2 linked regions of the Mytilus edulis genome follow. The protein of the gene in region 2 interacts with the protein of the main gene of each other region in a pairwise test. Links are inferred from orthologs where the notes say so. Each region holds a gene or a part of one and is shown on either strand. Other genes may lie near its edges.

Evidence for each region.
Region 1: the proteins of methylenetetrahydrofolate reductase (NADPH)-like (region 2) and proteasome subunit beta type-1-B-like interact in a two-hybrid assay, tested with the Caenorhabditis elegans proteins (3 studies listed by BioGRID). The link is inferred for Mytilus edulis from reciprocal best matches to the Caenorhabditis elegans genes mthf-1 and pbs-6.

The regions. Positions count from the first base shown.
Region 1 is NC_092345.1:55,905,800-55,917,604, reverse strand, and holds the start of proteasome subunit beta type-1-B-like, read right to left. Parts: upstream 5,546-11,805; 5' UTR 5,475-5,545; coding exon 5,386-5,474; intron 775-5,385; coding exon 667-774; intron 97-666; coding exon 15-96; intron 1-14. Other genes in the region: U6 snRNA-associated Sm-like protein LSm2, read left to right, coding at 5,730-5,732, 7,380-7,447, 7,996-8,086, 8,603-8,731. UniProt on the Caenorhabditis elegans protein: Non-catalytic component of the proteasome, a multicatalytic proteinase complex which is characterized by its ability to cleave peptides with Arg, Phe, Tyr, Leu, and Glu adjacent to the leaving group at neutral or slightly basic pH.
Region 2 is NC_092356.1:31,714,846-31,726,739, forward strand, and holds the start of methylenetetrahydrofolate reductase (NADPH)-like, read right to left. Parts: upstream 5,717-11,894; 5' UTR 5,637-5,716; intron 1-5,636.

The sequences.
Region 1 (11,805 bases), on a different chromosome or scaffold from region 2:
AAGTTGTAGCGTACTTTAAGTCTTGCTTGTAAAATCTTAGTAAGTGTCAGTGTATCTCCATGGAAACCACATGCTCCAAGAACTGTTGAAGATGTCCTACAAAAGAAAAGAAAATTAACTTTCAACTATGCTTCTTGTCAAAACTGTCATTAAATCCTCCATCTCTGTTATTGTCCAACATCATGAACATATTCAACAATAATTACTAACTGTTGTTTCAATAAATTATTGAGAAAATAAACACCACATGCATGGTCAATAAAGAACTACAGAAATATCTTAAAATTAACATTTATTACATGTATATATAAATATAGTTTCTGAGTGCAAGAGGCACAAGAAATATATGTATAATAGGAAACTTGAACAACTTAAAAAAAACACCAACTGTATTATCATGATTATATTGGTGCCAGAAGCTGGTGCCTGAGGAAAGAACTACAGACTTTAGCATGAAAACTGACAACACTGGCCAATATTAAAGTCTAATGCACTTGCCATATTGATAGGCTGGTAATACCGTCTATGAATTACATGTACTGAGACCATTTGCCACCAAGGCCCTGTAAGAAAAATTATCAACCAAACAAATAATACAACTACCCGGTAATCTTTTAGCTTCTGATAACATGACTTAAAGATTCCATGTTTAGTCATTTAACTTACAGTTTATAGGTCTTTGGTAGATCCCTTGTGTGTATAGAAAATCCTTGACTCAACCTTGTATCTGATGCTATTATGGAAAAATCTTCACCAGCAACTGCTAACACTGTCCTGAAAAAAGTGATTTCATCATCAATGGCAGTTTTCTTATATTTTTAATGATTGGATTATTCCCCTTTGTTTTTTATTGAAAAAAATGGTGGAACAGTGTTTTTTAATCAAACAAAGTCATTTGGTGAATTTCATTAAACAGCTGTCATATTCAGGTTTGTGAACATAAGGACTTATCAGACAATTAATTTCTTTTATACGCAACTCTTAACTTCTATCTTAAGCTATCTGTAACCGAAAATAACCGTTTGAAGCCTGACTGTAAAGAACATTCATACCCTCATTAAATAATTTATGGTCAGTGCTCAAACTAATTTCTTTTCAAAAGTACTCTTAACTTCACTATAACACAGGTTCAGGTAATGTTTCATTTAAGATGGGTACGTTACAGACTGTTGTATTCATTGGGGGTACTTTTATCCTGTTCATGAAAAATAACAGTAAAAATTCTTGGCAAATGACTTGAACGTTAATTTTTGGTGCATTTCAGTCAATTAAATAAATAATTTCTTTAGACAATAAAAGTGAACTGATTTTGACAAATCACATTATTCTTTTTTCCGAAAAATAACGAGAATTATTTGAGAGTTCTGACAAATCAGGATCAGGTTATTTGACAAATCATAGTTAAACTTTAACCAATTTGACACTAACTGTATAACGTAGCAGAAAATAGTAGTTTAAAGTAAGGATCTGGAAATTTTTCCATACAATTTTGGTCATTTTGAGATGATTGAAAAGACTTCAGCTGGTGCCCCTTTTCAACTTGACTAGATTCATAGAATTGACAAACTTGTATTGCTGTTTCATTGCATTTACAAAGTAAATGTCTTACCATTTCCTTCGAGAACAGTATAGGGAAGGCAACAGTTTAAAATTGAAATGGTTTTAATGACTAAAACTGGTTAATTTCCAGACACTGCTTACGTTTGTTTCGGTTTGACTAAATTAAAACCGGACGTTTTGCGATCAAATTAAAGTACATGTACAATAGTTCTGGATTCATTTCTGGATTAGTTTTGTTTATCAAATTGACAGGAAATCACCGACTTTTTATTGTTATTTAACTCAGGCCTCTACAATAACTTTTTTTTCAACTTGTCCAATAGGACAAGTACATACCAAAACTTACTTGTCCGAATGAAATTGAAACTTGTCCCAAAAAATATTAAGAATAACCTTTTTTGCATAATAAGTAGATTCAAGGAACAAAATAACTAAAACAATAGAACAGAAGTTGATTCCACAGTGTTTGATTCATACATATTATGTATCTTTTGAAATACTTTTAAAAAATATGAGTCGGAACAACTGAATCTAGTTTTGTCACAGGTTCTAGTTTTCATAAATGCCAAAGTCTTATAAGACTAGGCAGATGATCAGGAACCGTCTGATAGGCCTGTCAATGTTTTTTTTAACTTGAAAAGTGTATTTAAATGCAATCAATAAACAAGAATGTGTCCATAGTACACGGATGCCCCACTCGCACTTTCATTTTCTATGTTCAGTGGACCGTGAAATTAGGATAAAAACTCTTATTTGGCATTAAAATTGAAAGATCATATCATAGGGAACATCTTTACTAAGTTTCAAGTTGATTGGACTTCAACTTCATCAAAAACTACCTTGACCAAAAACTTTAACCTGAAGTGAGACGAACGGACGCACAGATGAACGGACGAACAGACAGACGGACGAACAAAAGTACATCATGTACATACCAGAAAACATAATGGCCCTCTACTATCGTAGGTGGGGCATACAAAAATGAAGATGACTTATGATTGAGGGTTTGGATGGGGTTAAATGATTAAAGAATAATGCCCTTAAAAAATGAAGATTAGAGAAAAAAGGGGTACATTTTTTGAAGATTAGAGAAAAAAGGGGTTAATTTTTTAAAGATTATAAAAAAAAAGGGTCGAAATTAAATGTTTACAGAATAACAGACCCCCCCCCCCCCCCCATCCAGACCCTCATGATTGCCAATGAGACAACTCTCTGCAAGAAATTAACAACTATAGGTCACCGTATTGCAAGTATTGTTTTTTACTACATAGGATCAAATATGATTTAGTGAATTTTGTGGTACACAATTTCTTCATTCATATATATGTAAAAAAGTATTTTTGTTGAAAAAAATACCGGTATAATTTATTTTAAAGCAACAGAATAAGGTAGAAAAATGATGTTCATATTTGTCTTGGTCCGGGTATGTTACCAAACTGTCTATTAATCACGACTATTAAATATGTCTTGTACGGTGCCAAATTGTCTATTAAAGTTGGAGCCGAACCGTTTCAGCTAGTGATGAACTGTCTTGTAAAGTTACCTCATCTGCAAAGCGCCGCTGATTCGAATCAGTAAGACTGGTTTACGAGAATAGTATGTCTTTTACCTGTTAAAAAGTACCTGACAAAGAACCAGTTTTAAATATTCGATTGCAAGTAAACATGTAAAATTAAAACTTTATTTTTCTCTTCTCTTCTTGTTTTATTGATTATAATTACTACATGTACGTTCATCAAATTTATTGTCTGCAGAATAATTTTACTTGTCCCATCGGACAAGCTTGATATAGCTTTTACTTGTCCGACCTTTTTTTGCTCTGGTACCGGACAATCGGACAAGCGTTATTGTCGAGGCCTGTAACTTAATTACCTTTAAAAGTGTTTGAATACAACATGTACAACAGATAATAGTTGCACTCATTAAATTTAACGTGAATTCAATAGACCACTTTCGAGTTCATCCGTCACCGGAAAAAACTCGTCAATTATACCCGCCTTTATGACGTCATTTATCAGATAGAGGGGGTCGCCTGTATCCCTGCACTATTTACGTTCATCAAGCGTCTTAGTGATAGTCATTGTGCAGGATAAACAAGAAAAAATGGTTGTTCTGTAGGTACTTAATGACAATTCCCTAATGACAGCAATGCTGATTGTCAATTTTGAGAATTCAATTTGCCGAATAATTCGTACAATAAGGAATTATAGTTTTCCAACCAATCGCTCAACATTGGAACGGAAGTGACGACGCCCCTAAACGCACAAATGACGTTCACTAAAACCAGAGTTTTTGATGGAAATGCATCTAACTCGAAAGTTGTCTATTTGCATTTTAATATTAAATTTGCTGAAATCAATTTCTTGCATGTGATACATACATGTATGAAAAAATCTTTTTTCTATGTAAATTAAAGTATAATTTTAAAATCAGAATTGATAGCCCCACAGGACGCAATTACGACTGGACACAATTACGAACGATTTCCAATGTTTGCCCTCTGAGATCATATTTGTTTATATTTATCAATAAATGTTTCTATAAATAAAAACCCTATTAAAAATCCCTTGTTTTCATGATAATACAATTTATGGGCACTTGGTAAATGTTGATGACGATGACAAAATCATTCTGAAAATATTATAAGAACGGCAATCTGACCTGGAAGTTATGTAAAAAAATACATAAAGGTAAGTGCATATTGCCTTCTTTTGTTAATATATAGAAAGAAAAATATCTCCTGATTCTGTTCATATGCGTGATGCCTTTTATCATGCCCAAATAACCGCACAATTGACGTTTTTTAGACTCTTCAGTCTTGTGAACCTATTTATGGCCAAAAGAAAATATGTTAATTTTATTGAAAAGTCCAGAGAACTCCGAAAGAAATGTTGACCAATATAAAAAAAATCGTAGATGAATGACAAGTACACCACCGAAATGGATAAACTTGAATTTAGTGCTCCTTTAAAGGAGGAACTTACACAAAAAAAAAAAAAATCAGAAATCTTTCCTTTACACATGACCGACATTTCGTCTGCAACCACTGCTGAAGTATATTGAAGTAAAAAACAAACTTGTGCTTTTTATTTTCCTATGAAAATGAGTTTGAGATAAAGATTAATGTATGCTTTATCAATATAGACTGTTGTCATTGATTTCTTCTGCAAGATATATCAATGTAGTGCTGTTCGGAATTGCGTCCATATGTGGCTCTCTTGACCCGTAAAACGAGGTCACGCAAATCTTACTAAAGTAACCCAACGTGCATAAAAATTTATGTGGGATATGATGCAAAATGGAAAGCCTTCATACATCTTAAATTCTATGGTATAAAAAATTCAAGAAAAGTAGTCTACATAAAAACAATATTAATCACAGTTCAAAAATCGTTCGTAATTGTGTCCGGTGAGGCTAATTGTCTTTGACGAAAAATAATTAAATAATGATTTGACTTGTTTACAATCCCTATATCTGGATTCCGGTTGAGGCATGAACAACTGGATGATACCACCAAAATCAGGATACGTAGATTGCAGGTCTGAGTGGTGCTAGTAACATTATGGTGTACTCCCAATGTATAACTTGGTCATGACAACGTTACTCTTATGTTGAAACTTGTAACCATGTAAATAAAATCAGCAAATGGACAGACAAGGGGCTTGCTTACAACAACGCCTTGTTCTCAGGTTGATAGCTGTTTCATTGCTAATAAAATGATTGTTTCAAAGAACATAGTTATGTGAAAATGACTTGAATGTGCATCATTTCAGTGATTTACTTTCTAATATATATGTGAATTTTACATGAGAGAAAATATAATACCCTCCATTCTGTTCATAGGGATTGAAGTATGCTTGTTTAGGAGCATAATGTGACTCCTCCTGATTTATATGACTGAGTACAGATGTCATTTTCAAGTTGTCTGCTGTGTATGACAGTGCTATTTTCACTTTACAAATTATGATCTCGTTGAAGTCACGTGACAACAAAGACCGGCTATGCAAAATCTACTTTTTCTGTTCTTTTAAGAAAATTTTCTGATTGTCATTATAAATTTTGGAAACATCAAATACAAAGAAATATTATGGCTGATATATTTATGAATAAAGATTGTCCTTATTTTTCATTGTAGTGAAATCTCCTTCATGACGAGATAAAAATCCAAAATGGTGGGTAAAAGCATGAATGAAAATTTTACATTTTGATTTTCATTTAATAACGTTCATCTTTCAATTTCTAAGCTGTGCCAGCCCATCAGCTCTATTTGACACTATAAAGTGTATAGGAGGAGTTGTGTTGAAAGTCTATCCATGGCCTCAAGTTGTTTATTTTACTATTTTCTGCTTTATAAAATTCGGGTGTCACTTTGGTGATTAGTCCAAATAATTATGACGTCTTGAAAGGCTATTATAATTTTTTTCTTTGACGCCTTACATCGACGTCGATGTAAGGCGTCAAAGAAAAAAATTATAATAGCCTTTCAAGACGTCATAATTATTTGGACTATATGGTGATGAGCGTCACGCATTCACTAATTAATTCCAACTACCCCACAACTTTTAGTTCGACACTGCAATAGCCCGACGACCTATAAGTCTGACACAGGTCGTGTAAGAACATCTTCTTCATGGAAGCAGGACAAATCGCGCCACTTTTTCACCAACTCGCCCCATTTAAAAAAAATTCTCGCCTCAAACTAGTTTACCAACTCGCCCCACTTGTGAAAACAGTTAAATCCCGTTATTTTTTTTCAGGGAAACTCGCCCCACTTATTAATGAAAAAGGTAAAATCTAGATGAATATATAATTTTCTGGTCTACCACCTCGCCCCACTTAAAAACGACTAGTATGAGGGGGCATGACTCGATTCACTAGGGCTTTTCTATTTTACACAAGTGGGGCTAGTTGGCATTCACGTCTCGGAAATACTGATACTCATTTATTTCTTCTTTATTTCAACAAAAAGAAAAGAACTACAAAATAGATATATAATTAGATGGGTATGAGTGCCTATGAGACAGCACTTCATTCAAGTCACAATTAAAGGCCCCAAAACGACAAGTGTAAAACCATTCAAATGAGAAAAGCATGTTTATCTAAGGTTTGCATAGGTATTGATTTTAATTATGAGTGCGTTAGGAACATAGATATATACAACGGGATTACATCTTTTGCATCAAGTGGGATGACTTTGCATTATTATATTCATCAGGATTTACCTATTTTTCACAAGTCATTATGAATTTTGGAAACATCAAATACAAAGAAATATTATGGCTGATATATTTATGAATAAAGAGTTGCATTTGGCAGACCTTATTTCAGAGGGAATTTTACCCTTTTCATATAAGGAGCAAAGTTATCCAACATATTTTCAAAGGGAATTGCCCTTTTTCATAAGTAAGGCGAGTTGGTAAACAAAAGAGGGGCGAATTTTTCAGAAAGTGGGACAAGTTAGTTAAAAAGTGGAGCGATTAGGTGTGGGGTGATTTGCCAGTGGGGTGATTAGTCATGGATTCTTATTCATAGATTTCCAATAGACAATCCCCGAGGTATTGACTAAACATCTTATCCCTTTTGTTTCATTACTGGACATCCCTCAGGGTTCCTTTAAAATTTTGACCTCATAATACAAAATATCTGACAGTAATGTGCTATTGCTTACATCCTTCTCATTTGCTGTCAGACTCAGAGCTTATTAAAACTGGAGAAAATTGTCTCATTGGCAAATTCAAATCACATTTCCATAATTTAAATTGAATCAAAATATGAATGAATTTATACATGTTAATCATGTTTATTTTTTCTGATTTCAGTTGTTTTACTCTTTCTTCAAATCTTTAGTTGGTAAAGATGTTGTTGTGGAACTAAAGAATGATTTGAGGTAAGAAGCCAAGAATAATAAAGACAGATACTAAAGTTGCTTACATTCACAAGATTTGGTCTAACAAATCATGTAGGTGGAAACTTGTCTTATTATTTTTATCATGTTAATAAACATCCCAGGCCCTAATTACAAATGTACAAACTGGTTGGTGAACTGCATTCATCTTTTGCTTTGTCCATAGCCTTTGTTTCATATTTCTTTTCAGAATTATTGGAAAATTTGATATTTGGTCTTGATCTTAATAATGAACTTGTAATGATGAGCCTCTTTCTGCATGTTGATGTATTTGACAAAACTTCAAATACTTTGTTGTTCCAGTTAAGCACAGCATTTCTAAGACAGTAGTCTGAAGTACAGGAACAATAATAGAACTAAACATAACTGCATAAAAACACATGAGCATTAGCTTTAATGAAGAACAGGAACTATATTCCAAAATTGAGATTTTATACACCATTTAGTATTAAATTATTTGTCCATACCTATACTATGTTTTGTAATATTTTTCATGTATAGTTTTGCTTTAAATGTTATTTATTTTGTAGCATATGTGGTACATTACATTCAGTAGATCAGTTCCTGAATATTAAATTAACAGACATACAGGTGACAGATCCAGATAAATATCCACATATGGTAGGTCTTTTCTTATCAGTTAGTAAATAATTACACTTTACATCTATATTGCTGATCAAGTGTCTGAATAATACCCAGAAAGTGTTCAATCATGATTGCCTAAATCAGACCAAAAGTTGCACAAAAGAGCTCAAGGCTGGAGATACTGAGGAGACAAAAAGCATAATTCAAAAAATGATACACTTAAGATGATGATTTATAATTATGATACTATTTACTGAGAACATTAGATTATAAGCAGTACATGTATTAAAGTTAATTTACACATCCAAATCAAAACAAGAAAAAAACGTTTGATATATAAATAGACATATGTACTTTTGGGGAAAAGTGTCTGATTTGTTAGTTTTAATTGAAGGGTACTTTTTGAGTGAATCTTGAAATTCATAGAAAACTGTAACTTGTTTACTTTGATATCTTTAATAATTATATATACAATAAGTAAGATATAAGTAATGTAACAGAAAATTGTCAGTATAAAATGAATTGTTAATAGTAACATGCTCTGTTTTTCAGTTATCAGTGAAGAATTGTTTTATTAGAGGTTCAGTAGTTAGATATGTACAGTTACCTGCAGATGAATGTGATACACAATTGTTACAAGATGCAGCAAGAAAAGAGGCAGCTCAGAATAGACAGAGATGAATAAGCAGTTGTATTTATTGGTGCAATAACTATGTAACATTGTTTTTATGAGATGGAATTCACAGGAACAATTCTATCAGAAGTCCTGACTCAGAGTTCTGAAACCTCAGGAACTATTTGTGAATAATATTTTATACCGACTTGTATTAACGACTGTGTTGATGGAAAAGATCTATTTTGTAGTGATGTAGGTCAACACGTCTGGTTTTGAAACCAGATATACTTTGTATCTTGAAAATAATTATTGACAAGTATGAAAGTTCAAAATAAAATGCTGTTTTATAAATCAATATTGGTTTTTTTAATACAGAGAATGAATCTCATATTTCAACATTGATCAAGATACTTTTCATTTTTCTTTTGTAATTTGTAAGTAATAAGAAATCATTCAACATATACCAACGTGATAAATTTGAGGATTGCATTCTGCACTAACATCCTATTTTTTTTTTTTTTTTTTTTTTTTAATGCATTCCATCAACTTATAGCCAGTTTAAAAGTCCTTGTAAAAGATATATTTGTGTGTAATTGATAATAGTATTTTATAGTGAGGAAAACATATTGTTGATTTTGTATTAAGCCAAATTTCTCTATCAAAACTTCACAATTATGAAAAGAGGGAAGAGAAAGATTTCTTTTGTATCATAAATGTATTTTTAAAGATCAATCATATTCAAAGATGTATCAAATTTCATATCAAACATAAAGTTTAAATTAATTTGGTATTGTTGACTTATGTTTTATATTATATAGGAATAAAAAGATATGAGGTACACATTTCTACAACTGCAAACCAACAGCACAAAATCTATAAAAGATATTTTGATGTCAACATTGGGTCTTCAACAATAGACAAGTGTCTTTACTATTATGTATTTGTTGAACTCTAAAAAAAAAAATCCAACGTATAGACATCACAAAATTTGCATACAGCACCATAGTATGTACTCTTCTCTTTTACTCCTCAATCAATTAGTATTTTGGATTGTTCCACAAAACATACAAGTTTGATAGGAAAGATTTCTCATATACAGGTTCATTGTTTCATTTTTATGGTGATGGAGGATTTAAAAAAAAAATTAAAATGCTTACTTCAGCAAATGACCTACTAATGTGTATTTAAGATGCAGTTTAGCCATAGGCAAGGGATGCACTCTCTTCTGTAACCCAGGAATGATTGATCAATGGAATTGTGTTCTACTAATTCATCCTGATGAATCACTAAATTGTAAAATTCAACATTGTAAGAAGCATTTGGGAATTTTTAGTCGATTCTTTCCCTCTGTCTTTGTTTAAATTAGAAAAATGTGATCATTGTAAATGAATTATCACTAGCTAAATGGTTCTATCTTAGTTAATTAAGAAACTTGTGTTGCTTTATGCAAGTAAGTAGAAAATGGCTGGTTTTCAAAAAACTAACCATGGGCAGATCCAGGGGAGGGTTCCATGTTATTTTTGGACAATCAATGCATTTGAATGGGGACATATGGTTGGAACCCCCTTTTTCCTAGGTTGAGGACCCCCTTTTTCAAATGGCTGAATCTTCCCCTGCTAACTATAATTTTAATTTTCCTCTGCAACAAATGCTTCAACGTTTATGGTGACCCCACTAACATTCCAAAGAAGTACATCTATTCACCAGAAATCCTTCGAGGCTTAGAACACTTTAGTCTTTGTGAGAATATTGCATTACTTCCCCTGATTGTGAAAGTTTATTCTCAGCAGTTGAAAAGATCCAGACATATATTATGCCTTCTTTAGAAAAAGTAAATGCATACTTTCTCCTTTCTGTGAAAATCTGCAAGAATAGTTACAACACCTTGTGTTACAGCATTCCACAATTGAGAGAGCAATGCAAACTTGATAAATGTGTTTTATTTGTCAAAATATGGAAAAGGTTTACAGTCAGTCATTCCTATCCAAAAAAAAGATTTTGCTGTGATGCTTTGTACCTTTCTTCTACACAAAAAAAAACAAGATTACAGGAATTGTGCAACAAAACAAATTCATCATAAATTGTAAGAAAAAAATAAGAGATCTGACACTACTGGTACAATCTAGAGGGGAACCATGAAACACGAGAACACTGAAAGTTTTAACCGTTAGAATTGTTGCATAAACACCCCATAGAGATTTTAAAAAGTTGGCAGGTTTTTTTTTTATAAAATATAGAAGAATAATTATCCAGCAAAAATATAAAAATTAAGATCGATTTATTGATTGTCAGTTTTCTAAGGTCCAGTGGCAAAGTTTCATGCATGTTCAGAAAGACAAGAATTGGAAGCTAAAGAGAACTAACAAAGAGACCAAAGGACAAGGATATATATCAACTATAGGACAATATATGGTCTTCAATAATGAGAAAAAGCCATACCATATAGTAGCCTATAAAAGGCACCAGTATGACAAAATGGGAAACGAATAAACAAGAGAAAACCAATTACCTAATAAAACTATAGAAAGGAAAAATAAGAGAGACATCAACCACTGTGTTAAAGGCTGCTAACTTGAGACAGGCACATAAAAAATGTGTGGGAAAAGGAAGACATTTCCAACTAATCAATAAACCAAGTTTTCCAAGAATAAGAATTCAATCAGTACAAAGCAAATGAAAATCGTATAAAGACTTCATAAACGATAAGAAAAGCATGATGGCGAAATTTCAAAATATTAGTATCGATATGGTGTCGACCAAATTTTGTTTCCACTATCTAAGCCAATCAATTTTAGTAATGTTTCCATTTTTTGAAGAAGAAAAAAACTCAAGGTTTGTACCATGAAGTCAATATTCAAAGAATTTACTACACGGTCATAATATTAAATTCATTCAAATGAGCTAAATTATAGCATTGATCATATCTAATTTCAGAGGCTCTATAAACAACATCACCGTAAACAAATATTTTCTCTATTGTTTACCTGGGGACAAAATGTTCTGGTATCATTTACCTGTCAGTGAATATTTTTAAATATGATTTTGTGGTTTGTCCGGGATAACTTTCAAAAAATCTTTCATGGACTTTGGTAAATTAAGAGGTAGCTGGGAAGGGTTGATATCTCACAAAACATGTTTA
Region 2 (11,894 bases):
AATTTTCTTTTTATTTATGAAATCTGAAATGAGAAAAATTTAACCCCCCCCCCCTTTTTTCACATCCCCGTTTCCCTTTTTCCAAAACTGATATCAATTCAAATTTCTAATGGAGTTTGCAACAATAACTACTCTTTTAAATACATCATAAAATATTAAAATGTAAAATAAAGTGCTTGTTATCACTGAATGGTAAAGATTGGTTGGTAGTAAAAGTGAATATACATTGTTTATTGTATAAAACAATAAAAAAAACTTCATCAGCAACATTTTATATTGGCAAATTTCCAATGAAGTTATTTACATAAAGTTATTGGCAAATAAAAATAGAAAATGACATCATAGTCATGTCTGGCAAATTTCCAACATACATTATCTAAAACATTTTAGATAAGATAAGGAAAAAAAGCTTCATCAGCAACATTTTATATTGGCAAATTTCCAATGAAGTTATTTACATAAAGTTATTGGCAAATAAAAATAGAAAATGACATCATAGTCATGTCTGGCAAATTTCCAACATATATTATCAACTACTATTCTATACAAAGAAAGATAACTCCAATTGAAAATTAATTGCTATTGCACAATATTGTGCAATTAGATATTTCTTGCTATTGTGCAATACTGTGCAATTGAAAATTTCTTGCTATTGCACAATACTTGATATGGAATCCTGATTTGGACCAACTTGAAAACTGGGCCCATAATCAAAAATCAAAGTACATATTTAGATAAAGCATATCAAATAAGCCCAAGAATTTAATTTTTGTTAAAATCAAACTTAGTTTAATTTGGACCCTTTGGACCTTAATGTAGACCAATTTGAAAACTGGACCAAAAATTAAGAATCTACATACACAGTTAGATTTGGCATATCAAAGAACCCATTTATTCAATTTTTGAAGAAATCAAACAAAGTTTAATTTTGGACCCCCATTTGGACCAACTTGAAAACTAGGCCAATAATTAAAAATCTAAGTACATTTTTAAATTCAGCATATCAAAGAACCCCAAGGATTCAATTTTTGTTAAAATCAAACTAAGTTTAATTTTGGACCCTTTGGACCTTAATGTAGACCAATTTGAAAACGGGACCAAAAATTAAGAATCTACATACATAGTTAGATTCGGCATATCAAAGAACCCCAATTATTCAATTTTTGATGAAATCACACAAATTTCAATTTTGGACCCTTTGGGCCCCTTATTCCTAAACTGTTAGGACCAAAACTCCCAAAATCAAACCCAACCTTCCTTTTATGGTCATAAACCTCGTGTTTAAATTTCATAGATTTCTATTTACTTATACTAACGTTATGGTGCGAAAACCAAGAAAAATGCTTATTTGGGTCCCTTTTTGGCCCCCAATTCCTAAACTGTTGGGACCTCATCTCCCAAAATCAATACCAACCTTCCTTTTGTGGTCATAAACCTTGTGCTAAAATTTCATTGATTTCTATTTACTTATACTAAAGTTATTGTGCGAAAACCAAGAAAATGCTTATTTGGGCCCTTTTTGGCCCCTAATTCCTAAAATGTTGGGACCAAAACTCCCAAAATCAATACCAACCTTCCTTTTGTGGTCATAAACCTTGTGTTAAAATTTCATAGATTTCCATTCACTTTTACTAAAGTTAGAGTGCGAAAACTAAAAGTATTCGGACGCCAGACGACGACGACGACGACGACGCCGACGCCGACGCCAACGTGATAGCAATATACGACGAAAAATTTTTCAAATTTTGCGGTCGTATAAAAATTGCACTATTTACGTTTTCATGAAAATTGGCACACATAATCTTCTCGCGTAATCAAATCAAATGGCATTTTAAACTAGAGGCTCTAAAGAGCCTGTGTCGCTCACCTTGGTCTATGTGCATATTAAACAAAGGACACAAATGGATTCATGACAAAATTGTATTTTGGTGATGGTGATGTGTTTGAAGTTCTTACTTTACTGAATGATTTTGCTTCTTACAACTATATCTATAATGAACTTTGCCCATTAGTAACAGAGAACTATATTTGGTAAAAATTTACATAAATTTACCAAATTAATGAAAATTGTTAAAAATTGACTATAAAGGGCAATAACTCCTTAAGGGGTCAATTGACCATTTAGGTCATGTTGACTTATTTGTAGATCTTACTTTGCTGAACATTATTGCTGTTTACAGTTTATCGCTATCTATAATAGTATTCAAGATAACCAAAAACGGCAAAATTTCTTTAAAAATTACCAATTGGAGGGCAGCAACCCAACAACCAGTTGTCCAATTCATCTGAAAAATTCAGGGCAGATAGATATTGACTTGATTAACAATTTAACTTCTTGTCAGATTTGCTCTAGATGCTTTGGTTTCATAGTTATAAGCCAGAAACTGCATTTTACCCCCTATGTTCTATTTTTAGCCGTGGCGGCCATCTTGGTTGAATGGCCAGGTCATCGGACACATTTTTCAAACTAGATACCCCAAAGATGATTGTGGCCTAGTAGTTTCAGTGGAGATTTTGTAAAAGATTACTTAGATTTATGAAAAATGGTTAAAAATTGACTATAAAGGGCAATAACTCCTAAAGGGGTCAACTGACCATTTTGGTCATGTTGACTTATTTGTAGATCTTACTTTGCTGAACATTATAGCTGTTTACAATTTATCTCTATCTATAATAATATTCAAGATAATAACAAAAAACAGCAAAATTTCCTCAAAATTACCAATTCAGGGGCAGCAACCCAACAACCGATTGACCGATTCATCTGAAAATTTCAGGGCAGATAGATCTTGACCTGATAAACATTTATATCCCCATGTCAGATTTCCTCAAAATGCTTTGGTTTTTGAGTTATAAGCCAAAAACTGCATTTTACCCCTATGTTCTATTTTTAGCGGTGGCGGCCATCTTGGTTGGTTGACCAGGTCACGCCACACATTTTTTAAACTAGATACCCCAAAGATGATTGTGGCCAAGTTTGAATTAATTTGGCCCAGTGGTTTCAGAGGAGAAGATTTTTGTAAAAGATTACTTTAATTTACGAAAAATGGTTAAAAATTGACTATAAAGGGCAATAACTCCTAAACGGGTCAACTGACCATTTTGGTCATGTTGACTTATTTGTAGATCTTACTTTGCTGAACATTATTGCTGTTTACAGTTTATCTCTATCTATAATAATATTCAAGATAATAACCAAAAACAGCAAAATTTCCTCAAAATTACCAATTCAGGGGCAGCAACCCAACAACCGATTGACCGATTCATCTGAAAATTTCAGGGCAGATAGATCTTGACCTGATAAACATTTTTACTCCATGTCAGATTTGCTCTAAATGCTTTGGTTTTTGAGTTATAAGCCAAAAACTGCATTTTACCCCTATGTTCTATTTTTAGCCGTGGCGGCCATCTTGGTTGGTTGACCGGGTCACGCCACACATTTTTTAAACTAGATACCCCAATGATGATTGTGGCCAAGTTTGGTTTGATTTGGCCCAGTAGTTTCAGAGGAGAAGATTTTTGTAAAAGTTAACGACGACGACGACGACGGACGACGGACGACGGACGACGGACGACGGACGACGGACGCCAAGTGATGAGAAAAGCTCACTTGGCCCTTCGGGCCAGGTGAGCTAAAAAGAGGGGTCCATGAACTCGTTTTCAAGTGTAATAAGTTTGAATGATAAAAATCAGTTGAAAACTGAATCTTTTCCCGATAAGTCATAGTTTGACGTCGCGAAAATAACAATTTACGTTAGCAATGTCATTACCTCTCCTGTAACTGTATCATTTGCCCTTAAACTAAGGTTATTGTCCAGAAACCAAATGTGTCATCGGGCTACGATGCAGACCGAGAACGAAATCATAGCATTATACGAACCCCAAAATATTTGTGCTGTCCGATAAGAACAATTGACCAAAGTTTCTTGCAAATTAAAAAACACTTTTGAGTTATGGTCGGAAAACTGGAAAAAAAACATTTCTCTGAAACGGAAAATCTAAAATTTAGGAAAAACGAAAGTGTGCTCATGTCAATTGATCAATAGATATATACAATTCACCAAAGTTTTATGCAAAATGGGTAATTGTTTTAGAGTTAAATATGCATAGGCGGATCCAGGGGGGGGGGGGGGGGGTATGGCCCCCCCTTTTGTGGGAAAAATTTGGTTGATTATATAGGGAATCATTGAAGCATGACTGGAGTGGCCCCCCCCCCCTTAGGTCCGTCAGTGGGCCCCCCCTTAGGAAATGTTCTGGATCCGCCACTGATATTTCCAATATATTGATGGCAGACAAATGGTATAACATAATATGTTCTGTAGATGGACGTTTAAAAATCTAAATTCATGTTAAAATTCAACATATTGAAGAATTACAAGAATTCATTTTTTATCAAAATCAAAATTATGTTAAGTTACTATTGGACACTTTGGACCTTAATAGTGGGTTTCATTGGGGTCTAAGCGTGACGCGGGATTGCCAATTTTTTGTAAGCGTGACACGTGAAAGTCAAATTATTGTGTCGGGAAAACAGGAAATGAGGTCTAGCGGGACCCAGGAAATGACAAAAAAATGTGAATTGCTTACGTACATAGTGTAAGCGGGATACGGGAATCTGACAAAACAGTAAGCGGGATCCGGGATCTGAACCCCCCAATGAGACCCCCTTAATATGGACCAAAATGACAACTCTGCCTAAAATCAGAAATCTAAATACCACTAGATTCAACATAACAAATTACATTTTAATAAAAAAAAAAAGTCATTTTTGTTGAAATTAAAAAAAACAAAAACAAGATTGAACTAACAGGGAATCAATTTTGAATGGAATTTAAACATGTGTGTATATATATATTGATTAAGATTTTAATTGAAATCTAATAAATCAATCCTTTCTCAATTTCAGCTATAACTAAAATACCTTTTTGACAAAAAATAGTGATTAACACAATTTTAACACACACAATCAATGGATCTAATTATAAATCATCTTTTTTTTGGGGGGGGGGGGGGGGGGGGCAAACTGACAACTGTTGCTAAAAGGCTACAAAGGTTGAAAACTGACAAGTTTGAACGTCCGATTTCCTGCACTGGTCAGATTAAATAATATAACAAGGTATAAAAAAACTCCTTAATTAAATTGTATTGTGCTAAACATGTTTAATTAATTTTGACAAACAATTTCCTTACCTTGGAAATTTATAAAAATACCCATTACAAAATATTTTCTTCAAAAAAAGCATAAAAATGACATTTGTTTTCTATTACATAATCTATTTTAATAACATCCTGATTCTCTCGAGTTCCGCTTGTATTGATTTGATACCGGCGACTTGAATCCAACAAAGGCAACATAAATTTCTTTTTAACATTAATTTTTTATAGTTTAGAAAATATATAGCATGCATTTTACTGCTGATCCGTTACCGTTATTAGTTACAAGGTGACTAATTATATACATCGAATCTTATTGCATAATTGCAATTTTCCGTTTGTAAACAAACCAAAACGGATGCTGTGGCTGAAGGAAAAAACAATAATAAAATAATATTATACTGATGCTATTGTTTAATTAAAGCTGAAGTTAATTTAGGATACTGTTACAAGTGTTTCTTTTATTCAATTCATAAAATTACCTCAACAATAAACCTTTCTGTCATCAAATTTCCCGATTTATTCCTTCATGCAAACACCACGAACGTTTAGACTAGAAGAGAATGCAAATTTGTTGAATTAGGTATTTATACAAATTGTCAACCAATCAGAATTAATGTGCGATCATGCATGACAATGTTATGTTTTACAATCGTCTCCATTTTTAAATGGCTTCGGACTTTTCGGATTTTATCGGCTTGGATTTTAACAGTGTTTATTGACATTTAAATCTGATTTCAATTTCGAAAATGCTTTAACTTTGAAAACTTTTCTTATAAATGCATAATTTATTTAAATAAACATGAAACTAATGCGCAAACACGCTTCTTTGCAAGTAGATTTTACATCATCTAGAGAACACCCGAACATACAAACTTTTAAGCGGGAAATTTTCAAAATAGATGTCCAAACATTTCATAAATGGGGTTATAAAATTTGCAAGAGAAATAGAAATAGGGGTCGATAGTTCTTTTAAATGTTAAAACTTATTTTTCCTAATTTAATTTGGTTTTACCATAGATGTAGACATCTATGGTTTTACTCATGCGATTTTTTTCAATAGCAGCATATTTAATACAGTAACATATATATAATACATCATGATTATCCTTTTTTTTCAATATATATAAGTATTTTTCTTTGTGTCATATTTATTCTTGTAAATCTTTCTCAACATTTCAACTAATTGTATGCGTTCATAAATGCTCTTAACAGAATTGCATGGGTATTATGAGTCTATCATTAAGATCATATAAATCAAACATGATAATAATCATTCCGGCTGAGACAACGTGATTATGTGTAGAATATCATATAGGTTCTATACAGGCACTCGTCTCAGAAAAATAATAAATCTGTATATACCTTTACATAAAGGTATATAGGGGGGGGGGGGATCTGAGACGAGTGCCTATGGAAGTATATGTCTCATGGGTCCATTTCCCCAAGGACGTATAACTAACATACGTCCTTGATTTCCCCAAGGAGTGTGTGCTGTACCACTGTTCTCATTCACGTCAAACCCTTTTAATTTACAAAGCTGTCTCATATCAGAGATAGATATGTATATGTCGTGTACAAGTTGCAATTTTGTACAGGTTATAACATATCCAAAAAATTGTACATGCTATAATTTGTACAATGCCAAAATACAAGTTATAACATGTACAAAAGTACCTCCGGCTCGTACATGTTATAACATGTACAAAATATTGCTTAAAAACGGTTTCAACCTGTACAAAATTTAAAAATGATAAAACAGAATATATTTACACGATTGAATTTTTTTCAAATAATAAAGAACAATAATCAAATGCAAAATAAGGTTCATTATTTACAGCATGCATAAAATACTTCATTTTCATACATTTTAGAAACAAGTTTCTTATTACTTTTTGCTACAAGACAGAGATATGTGACACGTTTGAGTTGCATAAAACTTTCACTCTTATACATTTACACCTGCCAGACCTACAACTGTTTTTTTACACTAACAATGCACAAATCTTTGCCCCCACACACTTAATTAGGATATCTTACGGACCATCTCTCTAACACTCATATCACTTATTGGGACTTCAGACACATTTGAAGTTGCATTTGCAAGAAATTGAACCGGGTCTATACTCAAGTATCCCTTTATTTGTCCAACTAAGTCTTCAGTTCCAATTTTGTAGCCGCCACTATGATATGTCCATTCACATTCATCACCAAGCCTGTTATGTTTTCGCATATATGCAGGGCCCATATCAATGGACTGAATGTGAATGATAACATTATCGCCTAAGGAGAGAACAGTTTATCTAGTTTTTGAGTTTTTTGTCAAGGCTTGGGCTTGTACCTGCTGGCCAGTGAGGGTCACCTTTCGTGCACGCTTGATGTCAGTATTTGAAATTTCAGATAAACCCTCACTGGTATTGACAGCAGGAATATCACCACTAGAAAGCACCCTCTTTCGAGGAAGTATACCAGTAGATGGCATGCTGATACTTCCTCAATAACCATGTTCGCATCACTTCATTACCATTGTTTCTGTTTCTAACTCATTTGTTCGTTCATTGGTGTCTGCTGAATCATGACCATTCAATTAATCATCAGTTTCAATGTTTGTGTCAGTAATAATATCCGTCTCTGAAATTGTTTTCAGTTTCTATTTAAGTGTCTGTATTATGTTCTGTCTCGGTAAAAAGGGTCAATGTCAGTGTTATTAGATACAGAACTTGCTTCAAATATTGCTTCTAAGTCTTCTTCTGTTTTATACCAGGTAACAATACCGAATAATCTTAATTATTTACATCATGTGAATTTAAAAAGTCTTTAAGGTATTATGTCATCATAAAAACTATTTATCTGGTCAATAACTATCTGTATCAAAAAGGTATCATACTAACATGAATGAACAATAACAAAAAATAATTAAAATATCATTGAGGTTAGTGGCATGTGTTGTTATAATAGAAACATATCTTTATTTTCAAATTTTGTACAAGTTAAAACCATTTTAAAGCAATATTTTGTACATGTATAACATGTATGAGGTACTTTTGTACATGTTATAACTTGTATTTTTGCATTGTACAAATTATAACATGTACAACATTTTTGTACATTTCATAACCTGTACAAAATCACAAATTGTACACGACATATGTACATGTCTCTGCTCATGTGTTAATCTTCGTGAACCCTCTAGCCTGAGCCTCTAGTTGTCATTGGAACTTTGGCATTAACATTAGAAAGATCATATCATAGGTAACATGTGCACTAAGTTTCAAGTTCAACTTCATCAAAAACTACCTCGACCAAAAACTTTAACCTGAAGCGGGACAGACAGACAGACGGACGAACGAATGCACAGACCAGAAAACATAATGCCCATAAATGGGGCATAAAAAAGTTATAAACAGTAACACAAACGCGTGCAGTGCCACTTTTATGTGTCATTTTTTGTCATACATATTACTGTGTTGTGTTCTCTTGGTTCGGCAGTGCACTTTACCACGGGATGGGGGTCCGCTCAAACGTAGTGATTGTTCAATAAAATTTAAATTCGTATCATTACATTTGAAACAATTATATCAGTAGTTTTACCATTTGCCTATAAGTTGAATTTTACTTTTAGTTTCCAAGTGGAACTGACAAACATCACCTTAACCATGTTTTACCTTCTGTAGAGTGAGTTTGTTAAAAGAAGAACAGAGGTATAGGAGCTCAGCATAGAAGTCAGTGAACCGAAAAAGGGGGGGGGGGGGGTTACCGTCCGAATCTGATAAGCAACAAACACATCTACTTTAGTCCAATACTATTGTAGTTTTTGAGTTTAACTAAACCATTTTACATTTTTTTATATAATATAATAAAAATAAAATACGAAAAAAGCGGGGAAAGGGGGTGGGGGTGGGGGGAGCGGACCAAAAGAAGTTTCGCTCCTGTTCCCTTTCTATATAGTAAACAGAATCATGTGCAAATAAAAGGGAATTTATAATGAGAAGCATCCTGGTGTCTCATAACTAGGCCATTAATGTATATACATGTATAGATTAAATTATATCGGATAAAAGTGATTTGCTTTACGCCGCGTGATGGGAATTTTATTTTATGACTGAATTATTTGGAAAATTTTAAAATATCATACACCAAAAGATTAAACAATGAATTATATTTCTACGAACCGTGTCAAATGGTTGTGGAATGCTATGAGGAATATAAATTTCTTCAAAAGAAGGATCCTCTTGGACAATGGAATTAAGACTATTAATTGAAAGCAGGGGTGATAGATGAGTACAATAGTTGCTGACGTCTTGGCTAATTTGTGAAACTTGTGTATGAATAAAGGCAACAGTAGTATACCGCTGTTCAAAACTCATAAATCCATGGACAAAAAACAAAATCGGGATAACAAACTAAAACCGAGGGAAACGCATTAAATATAAGAGGAGAACAACGACATAACACTAAAATGTAACACATATAGACAAAATCCCACGAGAAAAACAAATATAACATATATATATAACATCAAAACCAAATACATGAATTTGGGATAGACAAGTACCGTGACACGTCTTATCGCAATGTGAATTTACACTCAAAAATAAGAGAAAACAAACGACACAACGTTATAATGTAATACACACAGAAACGAACTATAATATAACAATGACCATATTCCTGACTTGGTACAGGGCATTTTTAAAGGAAAAAATGGTGGGTTGAACCTGGTTTTGTGGCATGCCAAACCTCGCACTTTTATGGCCATGTGAAATATAACATCAAAATGACAACACAGGACTACAATATAAATAAATTGGAGAACACAATAGACAAAGAACCACACGAACAACAGCCAACAAAAGGCAACAAGTTCAAAATTTTAATACGCCAGAAGTGTATTTTGTCCACACAAGACCTATGTGTGACGCACAGATACAAAAGTTTGAAAGCCGAAACGAGTACAAAGTTGAACAGCATCGAGGACCAAAAGATCAAAAAGGTTGTGCCAAAAACGGCAAGGGTTTTCCGTTAAGTTACCAGAAAATCCCTATAATTTAGAGTAATTTATACTTTTGCAAACAGTAAATTTAATAAAATGAATATTCAAAAGATGTACATGATAAAGCTGAAGTATTAACTAATTACAGGAAACAACTGAAATACATTTACATAACCAGACATTTGAAACACAAAAGTAGACACATCCGAATACGTATAAACCTCTACGCCAAGTGACGTCCTATTTGAAACTGAAAAATGACGAAAAAATGACGAAAAAATGACGTCATTAGAATTAGTAAAACAGAGCATCAAAAAATGAAAAAATGACGAAAAAATGACGTCATTAGAATTAGGATTAATTTAAGATTATATATTTGAACTAAATACTGATATTGCATTTAATAACAAAGCACATTTTAATTCTTATTAATATAAAACTGAGGTAGCAATTAACTATATTATAAAACTATGTCAGGTTTGTTATGAATCTAACTTCATGAACCGCGGAAGTTTAATATGCGCTCAAATCATTTCCATTTTTTCAGTGCTATTTAAGTGGATCTTCTTGTACACTCTATTTTCATTGTTGTCTTTGTTTTGTGTATTATATGTCGACCATACTATCCTAAACTTTGCTGAAAGGTAGGAATCTAGGGAGCAAATAATGTTTATGAAATTGAAATGTGATCGAGAGATATTGTCCTGTTTTGTATTTAAAGTGCAAACGTATAAAGATCTGTAAAGATCCGTAATCTTATCACTGTTTGCTATAGTATCAAAAAAGTTAATATGCTTAGTATAGATATCATATATATTGTCACTGGCTCAGACGTACTTATATATTTATAGCATTTTGTTACATCACGTGATCAATTTTAATGGCAGTCAGCAGGGTTTAAGAGCATCAGTTGTTCGACCTGTTAGTCAAATGCGTTTTGTTTAAATATACTTTTTCACTTTTTTGGTCTTTTGGAACATGTTGTTTGTGCTGTATTTTAGAGGTTCTTTTAGACCCTTCTACAACGAAATTTGTTTTTACATGCACACGTATAATAATTGCGGTTTTTATTCAACGCAATCATAGGTTTGGACGTAGTTTTCAATTTAGACTCGTATATTTATATATGTATATAGACCTATCATATATAAATACGAAATGCGTAAGTTGATTTTAATGATGGAGAAAATACAGCTTTTAAGACATTCGTTAAGTTGTATTTGTTTTTTGGTTTTGTTTTTTGGTTTTGTTTTTGTTCTTTGATCTTGATCTTGTTCTTTTGATTTTGGTTTTGTTCTTGTTCTTTGGGTTTTGTTTTTGTCAGTTTGTTTTTGTTATGGGGTTTATTGGTCAGTCAGGGACCAAATATGGCTGAAGAGTCAACATATGCCTTCGTCAGTAGCTAGGGAGTTAGATTATATAATGTAGACACGGTGGTTGTCTTTTATTTGCACTTGCTGTATATCTGTTTTGTTTCTAGTGCATGTTTTGTTTTGAACATAAATCACTTTTATCAGATTTATCAGTATAGTTTTCTGGATTGAAAAAATTAAAATTTGTCACATTCGAGACTATTTATAAACTTGAGTTTATCTGTTGATGTGTATTTAGTATTTTGGTTCAAAGATGAAAATGTAAATGTCGCTCATCATAATATTGTTGTAAATACAAGTAATTGTTGTGCCATTGACCCTCTCATTGGTGTAATTTGTACTTAATAAAGTTATTATAAGTTACCATATGGCTT